3 linked regions of the Drosophila melanogaster genome follow. The gene in region 2 interacts genetically with the main gene of each other region. Each region holds a gene or a part of one and is shown on either strand. Other genes may lie near its edges. The genes, in order: bon, ftz-f1 and ari-1.

Region 1 (7,339 bases), on a different chromosome or scaffold from region 2:
TTACCAAAGCCGTCACAGCCGCTGTTTCTGTTGCTGCTGCTGATGCGGTTTGCGGTTCTTTTTGTGCCCGTTGCAATTGTTCCTGCTCCCGGAGGGCATGGCATCAGCAGACACGTATACACCATAATATGTACATATATATGGATTGGATGGAGTGTGCACGAACTACGAGAGTACGAGTGTTTTCCAAAATGGCGACTCCCCGCTGATGTAGATACACAAACCGGTAAGACTTCCCAGTCAGCAGGGGGCCCGAAAATCGTGACGCCAGTTGCAGGAATAGCAATATTATAACCGATATGGATGGTACCGGGACTTGGGCGTAGGCGTATCTGGGGGCATGCCAAGGCGGCAGCTGAACAAGCTGACGCAGCTCAGAAATCTGCTTACATCTGCTGTCTGTTGCCGTAGGATGGTAGGAAATCAGACAGACTCGCTTCTCAGGACTTATGCAGCTTATAAAACTTTGCCCTCTGCATTTCCCCTCCACTGACAGAAACGCTCTACTTTTAAAGTGGCGTCAGTTCGGTTTCCCTTTGCCACGGCCGCCCGACTGCACCATTTTTGTTGCTGTGCGTTATAATCCGCTTTTTGTGATCGGATTATGTCCTGTGTAGCACCTAATCCCCGCACAGGAGTGCGACCAGCGTACACATGTTGCCAACGAGCACCACTTCCACATCTACACCTACAACTACACCACTCCCATTCCCTTTTTCAGTTCCAATCCGATTCCATCCATCCGCACTGATCCCGCAGTCGCAGTCAACTTTAATTACGCACTGGACGTCGATGGATGGATTAGGGCGGCCTTACGCCCACCGACTGCCCGGAAAAGCAATTAAAATGTGTATATCCTGGATAAACAGGAGAACGTCCCTAAATGGAACCACCTTTCAAGTTATAAAGCTGTTAACATTTTAGAAAAAAACATGTTTTCATGGTTTGTTCCAATTAAACGTTATTAACAATAAGTTCGGAACTGAGAGAGTTTATAAAATGTACATCAACCAAGATGGTTTTTCTCCTAAAAATAACAAAAAGCTATTAATATAAGATTAAAAGTTTATAACAGGTACAAAGAACAGTAGACAGTAAAACAAATATACATATAATCTTTTTTAAAATTTTTTTTCCGAACTCGAAAATAAAACACTAGTAACGAGAATAGACTAGAGCGACCTCTCTTGTTCACTTCAAAAATATGTTGAATATCTATTTTGACATTGAGCGTACTAAATCAGAAAATCTTTAATGCACATATTGGCTTTGACACAATTACCTAGTTTAGAGTATAGAGTATTATTTCTAATCCTAAATTCGTTCAATCGGATCACAAAGGGGATGGTTGACTATAGATGCCATAAAATCCCAGCATTTTAAAATCCCGATGTCTGCATTAATGCCAGGTAGTTCGAGTAAAGTGAAAAGAGAGTCATTTTCCAAGATCTACCCGCCCTTATTTCAGGGTAATCAAGTTAATTAGAAACTTTACTTTTTTGTGCATTTAACGACTTTTATTTTTGGGGGCTGGGGTTTCCTAGCACCGGCGTCTGGCCATCGGCACTTTGCCTTCTCCTCGTTTTGCTTTGCTTGCATATTCTCATCAAATTAAAGTTAATTGTACATCATTAAAGGCGGATTCTAAGAATTCGTTTCGGGTCTCGTCGGTATCTAACACAAAATGGCGTCGTACGATTTTGGGTTTTCATTTATTCCGATGTCAAGCAATTTAATTACAACCTGTCGCATGCATGGGGTAACACACAAAGACATGACTTCATGAATATGTATGTACGACAAGCGTTCGTACATACGTATTTATGGGAGTATTAAATATGGCCTCATGGAGGGTAGGAAAATGCATTTAGGTGCAGTGTTTTTGAGATGACATATGGATGCCCGCCAGCGGCAACCTCCCCATCAGCTGTCACTTTTAATGCCGAAACCCGCCATTTTGACAGGAGCTACAAATGAATAGGTTTCTCTTTTCAGTTAAGCTTCAGTGATTTTGAGTGTTTTACCGAATCGGAAGTATAAAGGTAAAAAAGAAAGTCTCCACAAAAGCAGACCTTGTGTTTATGAATGTATAAAACCTTTCAAGCTAATTTTAATTAAAAACAAATTAATAATCATTTGAGTTTAATATGAGCAGAGGTATCATTGTTTACTATATATAGGAAAAAATTATCCGTGAATTTTAAGTCTTCTCTCTTTATTGAGAAATTCTTATTATGTTTTTCGCCCATAAAAGTTACTTAACGACATCATGTATTCCATGTATTCATGAGTAGGTACAGTTAGTTTTGTGAAGTCATGCATAAATTAGAATAATTTACTCGATGAAAAGGAAAAAAATGCCGTCAAGAGAAGAATTAGCATTCAAATCTAAAGGAAATCTAAAGGATCGCATAATTCTTACTGGATCATAAATAATTCTTTGATAATTCTTTTCATATTAATTATTTAACTATTCCGTGCTTGGCAGTTTCTTAAGTCAGATTGTTTTGTAGTTATGTACATGCATGTATGAAAATCTTTAACAGGATTAATAATCTAAAAGCTATTCCTTTGAAATCCCCATCATCATCCATTCTGAACTCCACACCTTGCCTCGGCGAAGTACTTTCCACTTGATAGTTTGCCCGCATCAGAAATGGGCATTAAGTGATCTGGAGGGGATTCAGGCGGGGGGGGGGGGGGGACTGGGCATGGAGTCTGGGGGTCTTAAGTGCCCCCAACGACCACAGCAAACACAACCGTTTGCATGATTGAGGGACGGATTGAATGAGTGCATGTCATTCCCAATCCCTGGTTGGGGTTCAAGAGAGAGTGGCCACTCCAAAAGGCCCACTCTAGGCGAACATTTATTTGCACGGTTGCAGGAGAAGTTTGAGTCTTTCATACAGTCAGGCTTCCGTAACTAGAAGTATCACATGCCGCATAGAAAGTTAGAGCTCGAATTTTTAATTACATACATGAAAACGTGTTTGTTTTATTTAGCACACATAATAAAATATCGTGACCAATTAGTGTCATCTAAAGCGGTTATCATTTGTGAAAAACATTAATTTTGTTTTATTGTAATCACAAGCCGTTGATTTTAATTCATAATGTTAGTGTTAAATGAAACTTTCAAATTGCCCAATTTACGTTGAAAATAAGGTAGTTATATTCTGTATGTCCCAAAATTATATTGGAAGTTCAGTTAAGGCAAGTTATCTGGCTGTACAGTAAGTAACTAATACAATGAAAATAAACAAAAAGGTGTAAAAGCAATTCAATAATTCTTTAGATTGAAGTAGTTAAAATATTATAGTATTTTTTTATTTTTCAGGACAATTATGTTCAAGCTTTCCACTAGGATGATCTACTTGGGTTCCACTGTAGCTTAAAGAGCAGCTCAAGCACGACGGAGAGCAAACAAAACACAGTAGAGAGCACACACACAACCACACACACTCTATTGCCGCTCATCTGGAGAGTGGCAGCTGCATGTTGCAGCTGATCTGCAATTGCAAGAGAGGGAGACCATCTTGACTTAGCCCTTCCACGTAAGTGAAAGCGAGGTAGCGACTGTCTAGAAACAGCTTGTTTTGCTCGCACTCATAGGGGAATCGAGAACCATCGGCACGAGACCCTAACTCACTACACAGTAAAAAAAAAAATTCTCAATCAGTAAGCTAATAATTAATGTTTAATTTGTACCTTTTTTAATTTAATTAAATTCTTGCATTAAGTTGGTATATTATTTTTCATTTTTTCATATAACAACTTAAAAATTTGTATATTAGAACTAATTTTAAAGTTGATTCAACGTTCGATAACATCACATTTCTTACATCTTAACTGGTATATCCAAGATTAAAACTGCATAGTCATATTAATTTTAAAATAATAGAAAACTATATATACACATATACTGTAAAATAGAGCAAAGTGCACGCCGTTTTTCTCACTGTAAGATCTCGGACTGGGCCGTGAAAGTGAAACACAACAACACTTGCCATTGCGCGCTGTTTGTTTGGTTGTGTGAATACGCTGCTTTGTTTGCCTTGGCCTGGGAAAAAGATAACAAACGCTTTTTGCACGAGACTCGATTCGAAACGCTTGATAAGGAGGACGCAGCACGAGCGCATCAAAATCCAACCAAAACAAAAGTTTACACTGAGCAGACTGCGCAGAGCAGGGGAATATGTGTATTGAGCCGGCTGTTTGTTATCAGCCGCAAGAGCACGTGTGATTAGGCGGCTTTAGCTAACCTCAACTTGGCGTTAGCTTATAGGTAACGAACGCGTGATACGGACTAGCAACATACCCTTTTCTCGGCACTGTCGCAGGGGTTGCTCAGACTCAGCGAAGAGGAGCTCAATGACGAGGTTGTGGGCGCACCGCTGGCCGTGTTTGGTGTGCTCATCTGGGGCAGGGCATCCGTGGGCACGGCATCCAGCTGCTCCTGCTTGATCCCGGCGATAAGCGGCAGGAAGTCGTTCTTTAGCTGCTCCAAATCCATATCCATGTTGGCGAAGTCCTGCGATTTAACCGCGTAGGCGGTTGCTGGCGATCGTTGAAATTAAAACGTGGGCGTGCTAATTATAGCAACTGATTTTTGGTTGACTGACCGACCGACCGAATGTTTCCCTAAAGGCTGTCGCCTTGAAACGGCATGACTATTGCGATTATGTTGCGGTATTATTGTTTTGGAATTAGTTGGGTAGTTAATCCATTCCAATGCTTACACGCACGCACACGCACAAACACACACAGGGCGCGCGCACCAATACACAGGAACTACACGAGAGCAGGCAAAAACAACGATTTGTGCTTGTATGGATGTTCACAAACGATTTTTCGCTGATTCTTAAAGTTTTGTTCGTAGTTGACTCCTCTTCAATTGGGTGGCTAATGCATTTTAATTTCACCTTCGACTTCTGGCTTGCAAAAATATTGGGTTCTCCCTCTCTCTTTCGCACAGAGCGACACAACTTTCGTTTTACTTATACACGACGTTCGCTCGAATTTCGCTGCTATTTTTCGGTCTGGCCGTCGATTTTTCCAGCGATTCGTGCCGCATTTCGTCCATACGCGGCTGCTATTCTTTATTCGCGCTGCGAGCGCGCTCTTAGTGCGGTTTTATTGGCGTAATTCGCTGCGAAAACACACGGTCTCACGGCGTTTGCTCTCGTTGGACGCTTCTTCTGTACAAAAAATGTTCAGCCATTTTGGATTCAATTAATTCATGTCGGCGTTGCCAGTACGACGGCATTTCGAGGGCTGTTACGCACGGCCGTGGAAACGTAAGCAGCTGAGGTCACACTAAACACGCGATCTGGCAATACCACAATTGAATTCGCCGTTCATTTCGTAAAAAATCATATTAATGTTGTAATACATGGTCAAGATGCCATTTATTTACAATTTAAAACTAATAACTTAGCCTGGTATTAAAAGGTTATAGTAAAATATAACATAATTTTTAAAATAAACTTGTAACGTCTTCGTTCTGTTAAGTCATAACGTTACGTAAAGCTTTGAACATTTTTCTCCACACAGCTAATTTAAAACTTAAGTAAATCAAAAGTAGCATTTCGGAAACTCAACTTAATTATTGAGCTAATTCAAAGAACGCGATTTTCGAAAAAAACATATTTGTATTAGCCAAACAGAGCTGTTAAATAAAACAGCTGATCCGTAACAGAGCAAGAAGAAGAAGCACAACCACACGTGTGTGAATTCCTCCACTTTAAATCCAGAATTGTTTACTTAATGTTTTTAAGACGACTTTTAAACGACTACACCAAGGCAGGTTAATTATTAGTGATCACACCTCCAATTCGAGAATTTATAATAATTAATTTTCTTACAATAGTTCGCCTGAAAACCCTTTGCAATCCCTGGAATCGCCACAAATCCTTCGCCGCAGCGATGTCAGAGGCTCTAGATAAACTGGAGGTGGAGAAGGAAGCCAGGAAAGAGGCCAAAGAACTGGAGGGCGAAGCCGTGAAGGACGCCAACCGCATCAAGAGAACACTTAAACGCAAGAAATGGGTCGATTGGAAGGAGCAGGACGAGAAGGATGCCGCCAACGGCGTGAAGCGAGCGCCGTTCGATCCCGCCGACCGGATCAAGCGCAAGAAGAGCGCCATCCTGCTTAGCTACTGCGGTGCGAACTACTATGGTATGCAGCGCAATCCCGGCATGCAGACCATCGAGGAGGAGCTCTTCAAAGCCATGCTAAAGCACAAGTGGATTACAGAGGACAGCTTTGAGCAGATTCAGATTTCCTGTTTCCAAAGAGCGGCCAGGACCGACAAGGGCGTCTCCGCCGCCCGCCAGGTGTGCTCCGTCAAGCTGCGTTAGTTTACTTATTCTATTTTACAAGACAATACTAAACCTATTCCTTCCTGCAGCTGAGGAGCTGGACCTGGAGGCCTTCAATGCCGATCTGCCGCAACAGATCCGTCTGTTTGGCGTAGAACGCGTGACTAAGGGCTTCAATGCCAAGGATCAATGCAATGCTCGGACCTACACCTACACACTGCCCACCGTGGCCTTTGCTCCGTTTGAGGAAAAGGTCGACGACGTGCACGACACCTTCCGGATTTCACCAGAGCTGCTGCAGAAGGTTAAAGAAACCCTGAAGCTCTACGAGGGCACGAAGAACTTCCACAACTTCACCAGCAAGAAGTAAATAAGCCAGGTTTATACTTCATTTCTGCTCCAACTAATATTTTGTTTACTACCCTTGTAGAAGCTTTCTGGATCCTTCGTCCAAGCGCTTCATCATGTCCTTTACGAGCAGCGAGCCATTCCGGAGTCCCCAGGACATCGAATTTGTCACACTTAAGGTTAAGGGTCAGAGCTTTATGCTGCACCAGATTCGCAAGATGGTGGGTCTAGCCATTGCCATTGTAAGGGGGAACACGACGGCGGCCACTTTAGAGCGGGCACTGACGGAGGAGCGTCTGGACCTGCCGATGGCCCCTGGACTGGGCCTCGTGCTGGACACAGTGCACTACGAGCGCTACAACGATCGCTACGGCAAGGACGGCATCCACAATCCGCTGACATGGCAGGCGCAGGAGGCGCAAGTCCAGGAGTTTATCGAGAGGGAGATCTTTAGCCAGATCTATAAGACGGAAGCCGAGCAGCGTAACATGCTCGACTGGATAGGAACATTGCATTATCACTCGTACGACACGCGGACGGAGGACGCGCCTCCACCTTCCTCCGAAGACAAGAAGGTTAAAGGTGGTGATGACGACAATGACGAATAAGATAGATTTTTTTATGAACATTAACAAATAAAATCCAATCAATTTACACTTGTACAATAAGG
Region 2 (7,195 bases):
AACAAACATGGAGCTAAGTGCGAGGCCAACTGTGGACTGGTGGAGGGAATTCAAGGAGGGGGGGGGGGGGAGAGGTGGGTTGTACCGCCCGTGCATATTTAAACTTTGCATTGCACTTGGCACACTAAGATTTAAGACGACCGTCTCCGTCTGGCCGAGCCAGTGGAAAACCAACCGCCAGTAATGACAGGTTAGTGAAAACATCAAGGTCTGATTCAATTTAAATTGAATGTGTAAAATGTAATAAATGTCAGTTGAAATGCGTGTGAATATAATCGCATTTTAATTGGCCGGATTGGTAGTAGCAAGTGCTCTAAAATTGCTGAGCAACCAAAAAAAAATATTTGGTAATGAAATGTAAAATTTATTATTCATAGTACATAATCTTTGTAATGCTGTTGTTTCGTTTTATCATTATTATTACATATTATTTATAAAGTTTCATTATTTTGTATATTGCATATTAAATATTGATTTATTAATGAATTTATCAATTTTTTTTTTCATAACTTTCATTATTGCTTGCTTTTGATTTATTGATTATTTGAGCATTTGTTTGATAATACACGCGGTTTTTGTTTAATTGTGTCATTAGTTTGTATTTTTCTTATTAGTCGTTATGTATTTGTATTATTTCGCACTTGCCGCTTCGTTATCACTTCACTTGCAGCAACAACAGAATGTTTGCCAAACAATTTGCCTTTCGAATTAGGATGGTTTTGGGGAGGTAAATAAATCATTTGATACAAAAGATGAACTTACCTCCGTTATCGTCGATTTCCAGACCGAACTCATCCTCGGACATGGACTCATCGTCGCTGCTGAGATTGGAGCCACTGTGGTTGCCGCTTTGCATGTGATGCTGCTGCTGCTGCTGCTGCTGCGGAGTGGTGCTGGCACTGCTAGTGTGGTTGCTGTTGGGAGACGCTGCTCTCGGGGCACAGGAACTGGCGGCCAGCTCCTCAATACTGTGCAATGAGCTCCTCGTCGGATTGGCAGTGTTGCTCATGGATGTTGTCGTTGTGGGCGTTGCAGTGCCTATTGTGCGTGCAATCGATCCTGATCCCGATCCCGATCCCGATCCTGAACCCGATGCCGATCCAGAGCCCGGCCCTGTGGTCGTAGTGGTGCTAATGTGGCCATCATCCTTGCCCACCTGCACCTCAAAGTCCAACAATTGGGCCGTTGTGGAGGACAGGAAGTTGCTGGTGGAAACGGAAGTCGACGAATTGACTTCAAGTGGTTTCAATTGATGATATTCGACGGGCGGCACAATTATGCTACTGTTGTTGCCATTTGGATTTTGGGGATTCTTTTGCAACAGGGCGGGATCAATGCACTCGTTGGCGCTGCGATGGGTGGGAAATAGAATATTGGCAAACGATGGCATCGTCACAGATTCGATGATCACCGAATTGCCGTTCGATGGCCTCACTGTCTTAGCCTCCACGTTGTTGTTATTGTTATTGTTAGTGTTGTTATTATTGTTGTTGTTGGTAGTGGTAGTTGTTGCAGCTGTGGCAGTGCCCATTAGTGTCATGTTGCTATTGCTGTGGGGATTTGGACTGGCCACAAAGAAACGATCGCACAAGCCGCTCAAGGAGATGCCTCCATCCAGTTGACTGGCATCGATCGTTTGCAATGAACTGAAGTTATCGGCATTTGCCGATGTTGTTGCCGCCTCAACTGCTGCTGCTGCTGCTGCAGGTCCTATTGTTGCAGTTGCATCCTTCTGTTGCAACTGCAAGTGTGAATAGAATGGCAGCATGGGCGAACTGCCCGCCGCCAGCATTTGATCCTTGTGATGATGGGGCATTAGGAGTTGCTGCTGCTGCTGCTGCTGATGTGAATGTTGCTGCTGATGCTGATGTTGCAGGTGGTGATGATTGCTGGTAGCTTCTGTTGCATAGTTGGTGTTGCTGCTCTCCGCCAGCATAGGTACATTGAAGGTATCCATTTTATGAATAATATAATTTAACTTTTATTTTTTGTACGTTTCGTTGTGATGTGTGGTATTTGTTTTGTTGATTCTTAATGGCAGGTAACGATAGTAGTTGTAAGTTTATAATTGCTTTAAAGACCTGAAAATGGTAATAAAGCAGATTATTAGTAATCAAAAAAAAATTCTAAGCGTTTTTAAAGCCGTCTAAACCAAAAATCAATCCGTTCTAGTAATAAATATTAATTTTCAGGAAGTAGGACAAGGATTTCAAAGGCCTAGGTTAATGCAAGGTCAGGTTGAAGGTCAGGTCGCAGAGAATGTGGGCCAAGGAAAGGCCTAATGGTATTTGAAGCAGGCCAAGGTCAACTCTTTGTGGGGAGAGAAAGCTTTCAAAGCTTTTTCTGTACCACTTCAATGTCCACCCAATTTATTATGTTATATTTCAGTTTTTTTATAATTCTACTATTTAATTATTGTTTAGGGTTTTTAACTAAATCGTCGAAAGTCCACAATATATACCTCCGTAGAGCTTAGGAGTGCCTAAACTATTTTTATCAGTATCAATGCAATTTCACCAATAAACCGATGTTTAAAAATTAAATTTCAAAATAGACGTCGAGAATCTTTAATTTAAAAATTGAAAAATAAAGTTTTTTTAAAAATGCAATTGTTTTACAAGATTACAAAAATTAATAAAAAAAAAAAAAGTTAATGCATTAAAAGCATCTTTAACCAAATTATTTTTTCCGAGTAGATAAAATCCATTTAAAAATTAACACGCTAAATTGTTTATTCCCCCATTTACAGTAATTTTCCAGTTCGCGAAACAGACAACTGGAAAGATTCCCCCATTTTTTTAAGCCCTGTGTTACCCTTTTTAACGATACTTTAATTAACTTCACTCGACTTCAAGTTCTTCACTTTTCGTGCTTGAATCTCACCAACCCTCGGGTAATCCACGGAAAAAAATTGAGCAAATGACATTAACTTTATATTTAATATTTTAAAAGAAAAATATCTTAGTGGAAAATACGAGAAAATGTATAAAAAAAAACTATAAAAAGCTATAAACTGCTGATACAATTTTCAGTTTATTATCCAAATTTTTAAAACCACATTAATTTTTGTAAAAAATATATATATAATGATCCCAGTAAAATTTATTTAAACAAACAAAAAGGTGATTTTATTTAAAAAGTTTTCTTATAATGATGGTTTTTAAATCAAATTCGTGTCAAAACTGTATTTCATTCCGTGCTCCTACTTCCCATTAAAGATGGTAAGTGCAGTAAAATAAAGCTCACCCAACTAGACAAAATGGAAAAGGAGGTTTTTGGGGGGTAAAAGGTGAGCGAGAGGAAGTCGTGCAGCGGGGAGAATTGAGAATTTACCTTTCATGCAGCTGACGTCGTTGTTTTTCCTTTTGTAGTTCTGTGTGTTGCGCATGCGCCCGGTTCCATGAATTCCAAGACGAAGATCGCGGAAGAAGAAGAAGCGCTGGAAGCTGTCCGTCTCTCTCTTTCTCCGTCTCTTCCCCTCTCGCTTTTTATGTATACAAAAACCAGTTGGAAGCGAAAGCAAAAGTTCTATTATTATGTCTTGGTCTTCTTGCTGTTTCTGTTTTTGTAGCCGTAGCTGGTCTCCCTCTCTCTCGCTGTCTCTGTCTCGCTCTCAGTGTGGGAATTCGCATGTGTGGAGAACGGAACGCGAATTTATAATTCGCAAAACAAAGCTTGTGTGTGATTCATTTCGCCGATCGTAGTCGCTGTTGCCGTTGTTGTTGTTGTTGCTATTTCTCCCGATCGCATCTCTCGGCGTCTCGTTCTCTTTTGCTCTCGCTCTCCGAAAGCTCTTTCAGCATATTTCAGAACACGCACACACACGCGACGCCAAACGCATTTGGCAATTTATTTATATTTTTTTTTATTTATTTCTTTTATTTATTTTGCATTTATTGCCATTTACTCTTCCTCTATTCTCGGCGATTTCCTCTTCCCGATTTCGAACGCACACCAAGAACTTCTTGCACAATCGTCGCACGCGCGCAACAAGCGAAAGCTCTCAGAAACAACAACTATAAATTGCAATTCCTGCTACGCACACACTGACACGCTCGCACCGCACATACATATATACACACATGTACTGGGGTTCCACTGGGCACTCTGTGTTGTTGTTTTTCCGCTTGGCTTTTGCTAATTTTGCCTTGTTTTTGCTTCTGCTCCAATTCTATGACACAACGCTATCTTCCCACTTTGTGTTAATTTTTATACACAATTGCACACCAAAATTGGGGTTTGGTAAACGGATAGGCAATGACGGGGGCGCGGGCGACGATTGGAAACCAGAACACACTCCCGTTATGGACGCATCGGAAATATTAAATATATACGTATGTACACACACATAATTAACGCCAGAGCTGTTCTTCTTTTCGCTTTTGTTTACTTTCACTCTTACTTTCTTGGCTATCGCTCACTTTCAGCTATTGTTTATTCGCTGGCTTCACTTTTTCGGGAAAAACTATTCCGCACGCAAAAATTAGGTCTCGAGCGAAATTAGGTCGAACTCGAACGGGAACACAACACACAGTAAAAGTTTGTTGGCGTAGGTAGAAGAAGACCGAAAGCCCTCGCGCATACACGCACACACACATGCGCGGTCGGGATAGTGTTGGATCACCGGAGCGAAGAGCGGGGCCAAGGACAGAGAGGCAGCATTCTTGGCCTTTAAAAATCGTTTGAAGAACAAGGACGGCAATCATATGAAAACCGGAAAGCTTTCAGCTGAAAGCACTCACATGCACGCACACCCGCGTTTAGCGCACCGCTCGTGCGGCGAGCTTTTGAGAGCGACATCTGCCGGAACCTATCGCCAAGTTATCGATAGATCGTAAATTCAAAACTGTGGCGGTTTGTCAATGAAATATTACATAAATTTTAATAAGCAATAAAAAATACAATGAGATTATCTAGTTCAAATAATTGCAAATTTAAAAGGAAAAGAAGAAGACGAATTTAAATATTCACAAGATATAATTATACTTTTTCAAAAGAATGGGCCCTCTAAGTATATTTAAGTACTTATCTAAGACCTTACCTGTTCAGTCATCTATTATTATATATAAATAACCTTTTAAACCAATTTTGAAGAATCGTTTAATAAAAGCTTGGATCGATATTTGTTTTCAAATGCCAGGAGATTGTTAAAATTTTGAAGTGAAACCGCACTTTTAAATTGTCAAAATTTCACTTTGCATTTATTTTGTTTTTCATTATTAGTTTTTTTTTTTTTGTTAAATTTCTTCAGTTTTTTGTGGTTTCCTTTTATAGTTGCACAAAACTTACACACGTACATTACATAGAAAATTACAAACCTATCTGAAAATTGATTTACATTGTAGTTGGATCATATTGTGTATACATATACTTTATATATTATGTTAATAATTTCATTTAAAAATACATAATACATAAATACGCCTTTGTTGCTTCTTTAATATTATTACAATAATTATTATTTAGTTTATACTTTAGCTAGATTGTTTTGTTTTTTTAAAAACCATAGATTACACTTCATCCCTAGATTTATCTGTAAGTATATATCAATTTATTAGCTGATTGGCTGGCATACATTTTCCGTTCGTTTCCTCGTTTCTAACTGCCTTGCATTGTTTTCTTCTACTTTTATTGCATAATTGCAGCCAATCCCTAAAGATTCCAGATTTTCTCAATATTCTCGCTCTAAAATTTCCATTCATTTCCTTTTTCTTCGTTTTGAGTGTGTATAGCACCTTTGTATCACTTTGCATTAGCTCTAAATTTAATTTCCTTTATAAAATCCTTTATCTTCCAAAGACAAAGACGTGTGAGTAAAAACTAGTTACTAGCTAAAATATACATATGTATAGTATATAAATCTACTATTATATTCGTACTAATAGTTTTTCCATATTTGTTTGCACTTTACACTCTATGTTCAGTTAGTACTATGCTCATCCATTCATCATTATCTAATTTATATCTTTCTGGATCTTGCCCCGTCCAATCGCTAAAGATATCTCGGTTAAAATTTCATTAAAATGGTCTTAACGCCCAACAAGTTCCGTACACTGTCGTTGTATTTGATGAGCACAACCTTCGACGAACTGAACATGTTCAGCTTTTCACCGGCGCACAACAGCTGCAGGCAGGTGGCTTTCTCCAGGAAATCATCTATCTTGAACTCCCGTAGCAGGTGCTTCTGACTGCTGGCCAAGGCATTGCTGTTGTTCGGACAGAGCTAAAAAAAAAATAACAAGATTTTGTTATAAGTTCATTTAAATATCGCATCTAAATGGCACATACCTTGTTAAGCAACGTATCCTTCGATTTAACTTTAAGTAAATTGCACAAATCATTGAGTAGTACCCATTTATCACTGCCCTCGTCTTTGAGCAAGTACAGTGGTGGCAAGGGCACATCGGCCTCTTCAAATTCAAAAATATCACCATTCAATTCACTATCCATTGTCTCGATGTCCGTCTGATCCTCGTCTAGCCTAGTGCTACTATTCGTATTTGCTTTCGCATTCGTTTCCGTTTCCGCTTCTGTTTCAGCTTCAGCTTCCACTTCCTTCTTCACTTCATTCTTGACATTCACAACGCTTGTTACTAAATTATTTTCCACATTAGCATTCAGCTCCTCGTTGTTCTTATTGTTATTGCTATCCTCGTCGGTTCCCAGTTCCAATTTAACCATCGTTGTTGCCGTCGTCGTAGTCGCCGATCCAGTCTTTGTTGCACTCGTCTCCCCGTTCTGCTTGATCGTTGTTGTCACCCGATCCTGGTCCAAATCCTCGGGCTTCTGCTCCTCCTTTTTTTCCGCTAACAGACCATTCAAGTTGCTGGTCCTGTCACTGTTGCTGCTCATCCTCTGCTGCTTGGCCTCCTTCCTTTCTTTACGTAGAGCTCTGCTCATATCACAAGCTGTATTCGGTACATTACTGAATATATCATAACCATACTCCTTAGCATCTGGAAGAGATTAATGCATGGTTTAGTTCAAATTCATTCATATTTTAGTTTTATCCTTAATTGTATGCAATGGCAAAGAACTATTTGCTTCCACTCACCAAATATCTCCCAAGGCCCATTGAATCGCATTGGCTTGATGTCAGCGGCGGCACTTTGTGCATCGCTGAGATGAGCGCGCAGAATGCCTCGCATCAACTTGCTTGAAGCTAACATTAGCGGGGTTTGACCTAAAAACAAAA
Region 3 (10,233 bases), on a different chromosome or scaffold from region 2:
CCACAAAATACTTGCTATCTGGGGCAATCCAAACGCACATGCGCAAATGACCAAAAAGGTTACACAACCGATAACTGCGAATAAATAAATAAATATTCGTACTATGTTTTGACCAAAAATGTCTCACTCTTCATTGCTACATGTATTGTAGTGCTGCTGTGCCGACTTCAACTGATCTCGAAAAGAAGATTGTGAACCATTCTTATACGTTTGTTTTTTCGCCCCAGAAAAAGTAAAAAAAAAAAAACAAATATGTATAAAAGTGTATGAATTCCTGGAAAGTGACCCGCGCGATATGGCCCAGTGAAAAGTATTGCACGAAAGTATTGGGTATACTATAAATATGTACATATGTGTATATACTGCTGCTACAGTAATCAAAACAGTTGTATAGATTTTTTTAAATTTTTATTTTCACTAATTTTTGCAACATTTCTTCTTAATTATACATACATAGTTTCTCATAATTTTTACAGCTTTTTTTTATATATCTTTTTGTATTCCACATTATGGTAATTTTTTCCTTTTCTTTCAATTCGAACAACTTTTAACTTTTTACATCAATTTAATGTCAATGAGTTTTCCATTTGGATTCAGTTTGTTTATAAATATAATTGTTTCTTCATTTATTGGTATTTAGAATATAAAGAGAATGCTTAAAACGGAAACAAGATTAAGGGCCGACGCCTTCGTAGCGGGGGCGTGGCATGTCCAGTTATGTTGCCGCACGTTATGTACATACATACGTGCGTCATTTTGTGTGTGTGTGTGTGTGTGTGTGTTTGTGGGCGGGCTAGGAAACCATGGACAAAACTGTACTCTTATATACAACGATTCGAGGAGGAGGACTCTGCAAGGGTCCAAGGACACCGCCTCCCTCCCCATCAACTATACATTCCTCGTCTACTCGTATATAACTCAGTGTGTGTGTTTCCGGCATCGGCATGTTCTTCGATTTGTGCTGGGAGCACTGATCTCCATTAAGGATTTGCAACATTCGAGAGGCCATTACATATGAACTAAGAATGGGGGCGTAGCTCTGCTCCCGCCACGAAAACAAGGCTTATCCGATCGAATTGCAAACATTTTCATTCCGTATATGCTAGGCACAATTGTTTATTGAACAGAAAACCAACGGAAAAAAAAGAAGAAATCATTTTCCTTTTTTGTTTTTTTTTTTTTGTAAATAAAGGCTTAACAAACTGGAAGAAATTCGAAATCGAAAATCATACTGGGTCTGAGATTGAAACTAAAGAACAATAACGCTAACCTCAAGCCTAAACGGGTTAAAAAAAAGGGACGTAGAAGGTCGAAGCAAAGACACTAGAATAACAAGATGCGCAACGGCCTTACATTGGTTTGGCACTAGCAATATGATGAAAAAATATCAAATTGGAATACAAAAAAAAAAAAAAAACAAAAACTGAAAAACAACTGAATCTAATGTGCATTTTAAATAATTGAAATGGTACATTTACATACATCATATTAAGTCAAATGACTTAATAAATATACTCAATACAAAGCAAATTATATTAACTACCGTAATTTAAAACATAAATTTTACAAAAATTTAATTTTTCACACGCCGCAAGCTGAATACTCTAATGACAAATATTCTAATAAAGTAATTTTTGAAATTTATTTTGTGATAATATGTACATAGATTTGGCTATTTCTAATCTATTTTCAAATAATAATAACGTTAAGGCAATGCAAAACAAGAATTTTTAGCATGGTGCCAATTGATCAAAAATAATAAAGATTTAAAGTCTAAGAAGGGGGTCAAATTTACAATGCATAAGCATACGTGTGCACACATACAATTGTCTGCTATCACTGTATACGTAGAAAAGAGCTATTTGCTGTAGCGCTCTCCACTCTCTCGCTCTCTCTCAAAAATTCGAGAGAGCCTGGAGCCACCTTCTAGATCCATTGCCAAAAAAATGTGTGCTAAAAAATCGCGTTGCGTTACGCATCTTGTTATTCTATTGTCTTTGGTCGAAGGAAGTTGGGCAGGTGGAAAGGAAGCTGGGCGAGTGTTTCTGCTTACATGTGTAGTTTGTTTATTTCACATAAGTTTAGGTTCTATTGTTGGCTTCTCATCATGCGTGTAGCTTTGAATTCACTAATTTTTGCATTTTGTTTCGTTTTTCATTAGGTTTTTATAACATGAAGATTTCTTTGCAATCGGTTAACATCAAATAAGTTTTTAACTGTTGATTATTTACTATATATCTATTCTGCTTCTGAGCCTTGTGACTGGTTCTGTGTGTGTGTGTGTGTGTGTGTGGGAGTGTGTGAGTATGTGTTTGGTAGTGTCTATTTGATCCTGTCCTTCTTCGTGTCCTGCTGCTGCTCTTGCTTAGTACGAAGAAAAATATATATAATTCAATATATATATTTATATATATTACGATTTTATGGTGATTTCCTTCTGGCTTCTGTGTTCTGAAATGGCTTCAATTTTGCTTTGCAACTCTTGTATGGGGATTTATCCTGCGTTTCTGGGAATTTCGAGTCTCCTTTCTCTTGCGTTTCTGTGTAGCTTCTGCATTATCCTTAACTTCTGTTCAACTCCTTCGGCTTCGATTTCTGCGTGAGTGCGTGCGTGCGTGAGTGTGTGTGTGTGTGTGTGTGTGTGTGTTGCGTGGCTTGGCGGATGTTGGTCGGTATGTGGATGGGGACAGTGTTTGCTGCATTTCGGATGCTGGATGGGGTGGCGCTTAGCGGGCACTACATTCCGATTGCCTGCCGCTCGGCTTAGCTTAGTTATCCAGCCATGACTCGCGTCATTCTGTGTACTCCCACCACTCCTTGTCGTACCCCTCGTGCACGTGCTTCAGCAGAACAGAGCACCGCTTTTCACAATACCTAATCGAATGGAGAGACCAATCAATGTTTGGATAATGAGTCGTTTGTATGTTGGGGACACGGACATGGCTCGCTCGCTCACCTGTATTTATCTTGCACTTTCTGCTTAATATCAGCCAAATTCTCGGATGTAATATCACGTTCCAAATACTCCGACAACATCTCGGTTGCCGACTCCAAGTCCTTTTGATTATCCTCGAATATCATGGATTGATTGTTCTTTTTCAAGTAATATGCAAACACGTACGTGTACATGAGAGTCTGACGGCACTGGCAAAGTATGTCGACAGCCTTTTTCAGAAACTGCACCTGCAATTGCAATGAGTGTGCTGAATTCGCATTGTTATGGTCACGAGTTTTCACCACTTACCTCAATCCATGACATGTTGTGCTGTTGCATCTCCTCCATCTTTTGCTTCACAGATGCATACAATTTGTTCTCAAACTTCATCGACTGCATGTGGTTCATGTAGCGATTGTAGTAGTGGAGATATCTGTAGATTTGGCAGAAGATAATATATCAGTTGAGTTTTATTCCATAATGACTTTCACATTTCTGCCTAGATACTTTCGTGTTTCCTTGATTAGTTTTAGCATTTCTAATTCTACAGGTTTAATCAGCGATAAAATTTAATTACGAATTATAGCTGATTCATTCCTTTCTACGGCTTTCAATCGTTATCTTTTCTTAAAAGAAATTAGCAGATAAAATAAACCGCTAACCGTCATTATCAGCGAACTGCGAAAATAATACACAACAAGTATCACTTAAAAAAAAAAAAAAACAAAAGGGGTTCCTATCCTGTGACATCGTTCACAGTCGAATGACCCACCTGGCCAGCGAGGAGCGCAGCTTCTCCTGAGCATCGCGGGCCGTCTTGGCCTCGTCCTCGTCATAGCGATTGCAGTTGTACCAGGAGGAGCCGTGCGGCTCCCAAGAACCGAGGCACACCCAGCAGAACTCGTTTTTGCAGTTCTGGTTCTTGCACACCATGTGGTTGCAGCCGCCGTCCTTCTCGATGGTCACGCTGCACCTGGGACACTCTTTGGTATTGGCCGCGATCCAGTTGGACGTCTCCGAGTCGTCGTCACACTTCTTGATCCACTTCTTTAGCCAACGGCACTTGACCGGATCGTGCCAGTTCTCGCCGCAGGCAAAGCAGAAGACATGGCCGCATTTGCAATGGACGCGACGTGGCTCCGCGTACGGCACCTTCACCGCATAGGTGCAGTCGACGGACGGACACCAGCGCAGCAGCTGGTTGCACTCCACAAAGCTATTGGTGATCAGCTGCTGGTACTTGACCCGCACCCGTGCGTCCGTCACTAGGTTGGCGACGGTCACGTCGTCCACCAGGATATCACAGCCGTGCGCCGCGCACGAAATGGTCTGGCCCAGACCCTCCGCCACGATCTTCGTTGACAGATACTCGTGCCAACAGGGCATGCAGAATCGGTGTCCGCATTCCAGCCCGGCCATGGACTAAATGGAACGAAGAGAAAGTAGCTATTAGTATACATTGTAGATATTCTTGAAGTTGTTGCTTGTGGAGCAAAAGAGTATACAATATTATAAATATATTATAATCGTATTCTATAATATATACTTAAAGATCACGCGAACTATGAGAGCTTAATGATGAAGCATACAGCAAATTAAAACCACCTACATAGCGTATGGTAATTTTAAACTTTTCATAGGTGTTTTACGCTCTGAGTATTTGTTAGTTAGCTTGTCTATAATATATTTAAGTTTACTTTGCTGTTATAACCCAAAGTTGCCCATTGCAATCTACTCTTTTAAAACGTGATACTAAATTTTACTTTTTAAACTACATTATTAAATGTTTGATTCCACAAGACAGTTGGATTCCAGCGAATTACTGCTGAACTGCTTACATAACCAAATTCAGGCTAACAATCAACAATTGTAAATCAAGCAAGTAAATTAGTGATAACGTAAGCCAATAAAAATAATTGATAAAATACAAATCAAGTCTTTTTAGAATATTTTAGATTTGTATAGCAAAGCAACGCCCTAACATTATTATCAGGTCATCAGATAAGGCACCATTGACCAGTTAAAAAATCATGTTTCCCCCCAAAATATTCGTGGTTAATCAGCGGGAAAATATATTCTACACCGCAATTAGGTCACGGAGTTACTCATCCCTTCTCCATGACAACTTACATCTGGCGGGAGCTGTGAAAAGCATATTTCGCACTCTTCGCACTGACTGCGTGAGGTCTGAAAATGAAGGGAAACGCATTAGATGAGACATCAAATGGAGCCTTAGCACTGGGCTCACCTTTTGTTTGATCGCTTCGGTGGCGTTGAAAGGATTTATGACATGTGCGCATTTGAAGAACTCATCAGTGTTGTCGTCGAAGTACTTCTCCAATAGCTTCTCCTTGTCCCACTTGAAGTGATTTAGCAGTATCCGTGTGGTGGGTGTGGGTAGCTGTGGCCATAGACAACAAAACAAATCGAATGTCAGTGGATGATGGCACATATGTACATATATGGGGTAAAAGAGCGGGGGCTGCATCCCAGTTGGCATCGAAATCAATGCCAAATCATTTGCGATCAGCAGCAGTATGATCAGCAGTACCTATGTATAATCGTGGATGGGGTTGTGATGTGGAACCACTATAACTACCACTGGCAATTGGTCTATCTAAACAGTATAATTTTTAGGATATATAACATTTCTTGGCATTCCTAATAACTAATCGATTTGTTTGGAAATCGAGAAAAAGTACGTATGTATGTACAATTCAATTTTAGAGGGAAGAGTTACTCAAAGGTGCTTTGTTTAACTAACAATTAGATAGCTACATACATGATCTGTATCAATACTGAAAGTTAACACTCAAGCTAAGTGAATTTCGCTTATTATTGCAATGAAAGATTTTCTGATGTTTAAATGTCAATGAAACAAAAAAGTATTACATGGATTCTACATTGATCCTAATGTATTCATTTGAAATGGAATCTATAATACCATTTTAAGGGAATCCCCCGAAATCTGGGAAAGTGAAAACTGTGCTAGTGAACTTCGGGCAAGTCAGCTGCTGATGCGGATATGGGATGCGGATCTGGCGACCTTGGGTGCGCCTGGGTGCTTGTGTTCCGATTTCACTGGCACTGGCAGTCATCAGCGGACGACCTTCAGCTTATCCCAGATCCCAGGCAGGGCGGTGGGCGGCAAGAGCGAGGGGTGGGGAAAGCGATTCACGGATACACATGCCCAAATGCACTGTGCTGCACACAGTGATGCCTCCGAGCGGCGAACAGATCAGATATTCTTGGCAGCTATACGCCACTAAACTATGTCAAGCCATTTGGCTTTCACTGCAAATCGCAGCGCTAACGAAAGTCGAAACAAACATGTTCCTGCTAGGAAGGCCTGACTGTAGAGCAATCAAAGGTGACTGCTTGCCTATCTTTGTTGTCTGGACTGGGTGAAGAATGTACCTCTATGGCTGCCCTAGGACTGATAGTTAAGTTGCGGATGGATAGTTATACTAGCGGGTGTTCACTGTACTTGCGCTTGGCCATACCTTCAGCAGCAGATTGGCTTCGTCGATGATCTCGCGCTGGTGTTGCACAATCTCATCGGTGGTGAGCACCTTGTACTGGTAGTCATCTTGGTCCATCTGGCGGTCCGCGGAGCTTGGCAGGTCCACCTCCATGCCAAAGTCATCATCGCCGTCGTCGCCCGAGGAGACGTTGCCCGAATCGACATTATCGCAGAAATCATTGTCATTGTCCGAGTCCATTTTTCGGTTTCTGTTTTGCGTTACTGCTTCTGCTTCAGCTGCTGGTGCTCCTTCTGCTCTCTTCCTCTTCCTGTTCCTCTTGCGCCTCCCGCACCACTTCCGTTCCTCTTTGTTTTCAGCTTTCGAGGCTTTGTTTTCCAGCGTTTACTTCCAGTATTTTACTTTTGCATTTGCATTTGCGTTTGTTTCTGTCTTTTCGTTTTCCTTTGCCTCGTTTTCCACTTGCTTTTGTTTACGTTTTTGCGCAGCCCTTTTCGCCAGTTGTTATTATTGCTGCCCTCGCAGTGGCGTGGCCAGTTGTGTTTGGTCGCTGCACTTGGTGCACAGCTTCTATTCCCTTTTTCACACTAACTTATTTTGTGCGCTGCTAATTTGTAGGCTGCGTGCTGGCTATTTTTATTTGTAAATGAAAAATGAATATGTGAGATTTTCTAATGACAATACGAGACCCTGCACGGTCGCAGCGCAGTCATACTGGTTCGGTATTTTTAAGAAGAACGGTCACACTGGCCCGTGCGCTTAACAGGGCCGAACTGCTGATTTAACAGCGAACAACACTATGTTAAATGTGTGCATGTGTGTGTAAAATCATGTAAAATCGACCGAACGTCGATGGGACAAACAAAAAAAAACAACGAAATTATGTACACAAATGCATTTTTCTTTAGGGCAGATTATTTTGTTTTCAAGGTAATGGCACACACCAGCACACTGCGCACACACATGCGCACATTACGTGTGTATTGCCACACACACGTACACAAAGGCACAGTCGAAAAGCTTATGACTTTTTGTTGTTTTTCTATGCACTTTTCCAAAGAAAAAACACTAGCTTATTGCACTAATCGTGCTCGCCTTCGTCGCGAAGTTCGGTTGCAATGCACAAATTAAATGGAATTTTCACGAAAAACTAACCGTAAAGCCAACAAAATGATTTGCATCGGTGTTGGTTCTCACTTGCTCTCTTTGCTTTTCTCAAAAAATAACACACACACACACGCGCTCGCACAGTGGAGTCAAGTGTGCGTGAAAGTGTGTGCGCATGTTTGCGCTTTTTTCCCATTTACTTTCGTTCCGATTGCCGCCTGTTTCATACCGTTCCGTTAAATCGTATGTTTAACAACATCTGCTTATCGATGGGTGCCAAAAAAGCAATAGTGACTTATCGACGGCTGGGAAACAGTAGATTCAAAAACAAGTGAGCTTCCAATGAACGTTTTCTTGATTCTCAGTGTATTCATCAAAAGAGATTATCTTAAAAATGAGACATGCGCTTAATTTACAGAAACAGTTTTTGAGAAAATCCCTTTACAGAACAAGACTTGAAGGGATCCATTCAAAGGCACGAACCACAGTGTCAAATTCCAATCCGAGACATAAACCTGTTTGAAATAAATATTGTTATTTAAACATTATTAATTATTCTTGGAATTAAAGGGTATACTAGATTCGTTGAAAAGCGCTTCCGACTTCATAAAGTACACATATTCTTGATCAGGATAACTAGGCGTCTTGATCTATTATTGAGATCTTTTATTCGACTGTCAAGATATTATACTCAAACGTTTTCTCATGTTTTTAACTGCAACCTCCGGTTGTTTGCGGTTAGAGTTTAATCTTTAAAGTGGCGAACAATATAAAATTGCTAAAACTTCGCACGAGCTAAAAATATATTTGAATAAAATTATTTTAAACTTTACTGTCCCAATTTTCATTGTTTCACAAGTACCGTTAATCAAATTCAATGGTAAATTGCCACTCTGTTGTAACATCGATGTATCGATGCCATATCGATACCTTATCGATACTGTATCGGTTGATACAGAGTTGCACTGGCAATGGGCGCCTTATTCGATTTCACTTAAAGTTTTTTATTGTATATTGTGTTTTTATTGCAACACCTGACAACTGTTGTTGTGTATAAGGTATGTATATAAAGAGCCAGCTGGCTTAATCAGAATGCGGTCATAATGCAAATTCGTTGGATGGCAGTTCGATTTCTTCTTCTTCTAATGGTGGCAGCCATACGGGCCGACCTGGGCGGATCCGGAAGTTGTGGGCCCTACGAGTGCCGTCTGAGCAACCCGATCTGCCGATGCGAGTCCTTCTGCCAGGAGTTCAGTCAGCGGTGCTGGAAAAACCCATCGGGATGCCATTGTGCGAGAGGATATGCCCGTAACGAACGAGGACACTGTGTGCCTCTTATTTTGTGCCCCTGATATAGGATTCACCATCAAAACAAATATCTAAACGAATATCACCTTAAAATTCATATGTAAACTAAAAACCGATTGCATGGAAATAATCAGCATGCAAAATAAATACAGCAGACACATTTTTAATGAGAAAAAAATGGTTATAAAATTGATTGGGCGTTTGCCTCATTACACAGAAGTAAATATTTTAATGTTTTCAATAATTTTCTATTGGTTTAATATTAGGCATTTGTAGAAATTATAAAACCAATAAATAAAAACTACAAAATTACATGACGGCAGTTACTAAATAGCATTTTTAACATGAACCAAAATGTATACCATTTTTGCATATAATGAAAATGACAATTTGATTGTAATTCAATCAATTGAGTTAAATTTACCGAATGCACTGAGCGCATGAATGGCTGCATTGTTTTTTTTTTTCGCCACAAAAAAGCAGCTGAAAAATGCACCGCTCCATTGGGAGTATTTAAGTCATTTTCATTTATGAATAGTAATACCAGGCAGTTGCCACTAAAACCCGGCCATCGCATATAATTGTGATTAAATTACTTTGTATGTATATTTATACATTAATACATATGCATACATATGTATGTATCCATGTTGGCCATTACCTATGCAAGCATATATATATATACATACATTGTTCCAATTTGCATTTCAGGAATTAATTACAATTTGCATTAGGCACGCCATAATTGCTGGCAAGTTTTATTACACGAAACGCCAGTCTGTGCTGCCCGATTCAATTATAGTAGAATCCTTCTGGGAATTTATTAAATTGTCAGTTTTTTGTATAAAACCAAAGGTTTAAATATGATTAAAAGCCACCAAAAGGCTTTTTGCGCTTGATTTTTAAATGTATTAAAAAAATATAGAAGTAGCGATAAAGCGCTTATTTCATTACATCCCTTTTGAAATAATTAAATTACGAAGTTAGTTCTTTAACGAAAAAGGGCAATCAACCGCCATGTAGTGATTTTTTCGCTCGAACTTGCTTTCTTTATCTTCGCTGATGCTGCGGCTGCGTTTTATAGTTGTCTGCTGTGCTCGTAAAGCATGCTCGCGAGCAAAAGCACAAACAACGTGTAAAAAACGAAACTGTTTCCAAAAAGCGGCAGGAATCGTTGCTGTTGTTTGCCAACGACAAAGGTCGCGCATCTGTTTATGCCGATTACACGTGGATCAATGTGGGTGAATTGTACGAGTATTCGCATGAACAGAGAGATACCCTGGACAGACGAACTTGCTTCAAAAAAGTTGAAAAAATTCCATTTTTTCAAGTATCTAAAAAATAAACTGCTCAAGTATTTAAGGACACATATGGATAGCAGATATACCACATTAATCTTAA

What was found.
Region 1: of ftz-f1 (region 2) and bon, changing one suppresses a phenotype caused by changing the other (phenotypic suppression), as found in Drosophila melanogaster (one study listed by BioGRID).
Region 3: of ftz-f1 (region 2) and ari-1, changing one suppresses a phenotype caused by changing the other (phenotypic suppression), as found in Drosophila melanogaster (one study listed by BioGRID).

The regions. Positions count from the first base shown.
Region 1 is NT_033777.3:20,591,024-20,598,362, reverse strand, and holds the start of bon (bonus), read right to left. Parts: upstream 5,225-7,339; 5' UTR 4,520-5,224; coding exon 4,319-4,519; intron 1-4,318. Other genes in the region: Pus1 (pseudouridine synthase 1), read left to right, coding at 5,767-5,806, 5,870-6,355, 6,411-6,687, 6,752-7,277.
Region 2 is NT_037436.4:18,796,775-18,803,969, forward strand, and holds the start of ftz-f1 (ftz transcription factor 1), read right to left. Parts: upstream 4,536-7,195; 5' UTR 3,334-4,535; intron 2,082-3,333; 5' UTR 1,958-2,081; coding exon 763-1,957; intron 1-762. Other genes in the region: CG14073 (uncharacterized protein), read right to left, coding at 6,008-6,223, 6,289-6,956, 7,055-7,183. UniProt on the Drosophila melanogaster protein: Acts as a cofactor to fushi tarazu (ftz). Facilitates the binding of ftz to DNA. Binds the sequence element 5'-YCYYGGYCR-3' in the zebra element of ftz. Probably functions as a nuclear receptor for a yet unknown ligand.
Region 3 is NC_004354.4:18,130,004-18,140,236, forward strand, and holds ari-1 (ariadne 1), read right to left. Parts: upstream 7,683-10,233; 5' UTR 7,573-7,682; exon of another isoform or gene 7,362-7,572; intron 7,137-7,361; exon of another isoform or gene 7,048-7,136; 5' UTR 6,658-7,047; coding exon 6,439-6,657; intron 5,337-6,438; coding exon 5,184-5,336; intron 5,123-5,183; coding exon 5,066-5,122; intron 4,358-5,065; coding exon 3,708-4,357; intron 3,369-3,707; coding exon 3,245-3,368; intron 3,184-3,244; coding exon 2,957-3,183; intron 2,875-2,956; coding exon 2,793-2,874; 3' UTR 389-2,792; downstream 1-388. Other genes in the region: CG43133 (uncharacterized protein), read right to left, coding at 1-74, 128-134; CG43229 (uncharacterized protein), read left to right, coding at 8,628-8,876. UniProt on the Drosophila melanogaster protein: Atypical E3 ubiquitin-protein ligase, which catalyzes ubiquitination of target proteins together with ubiquitin-conjugating enzyme E2 Ubc10.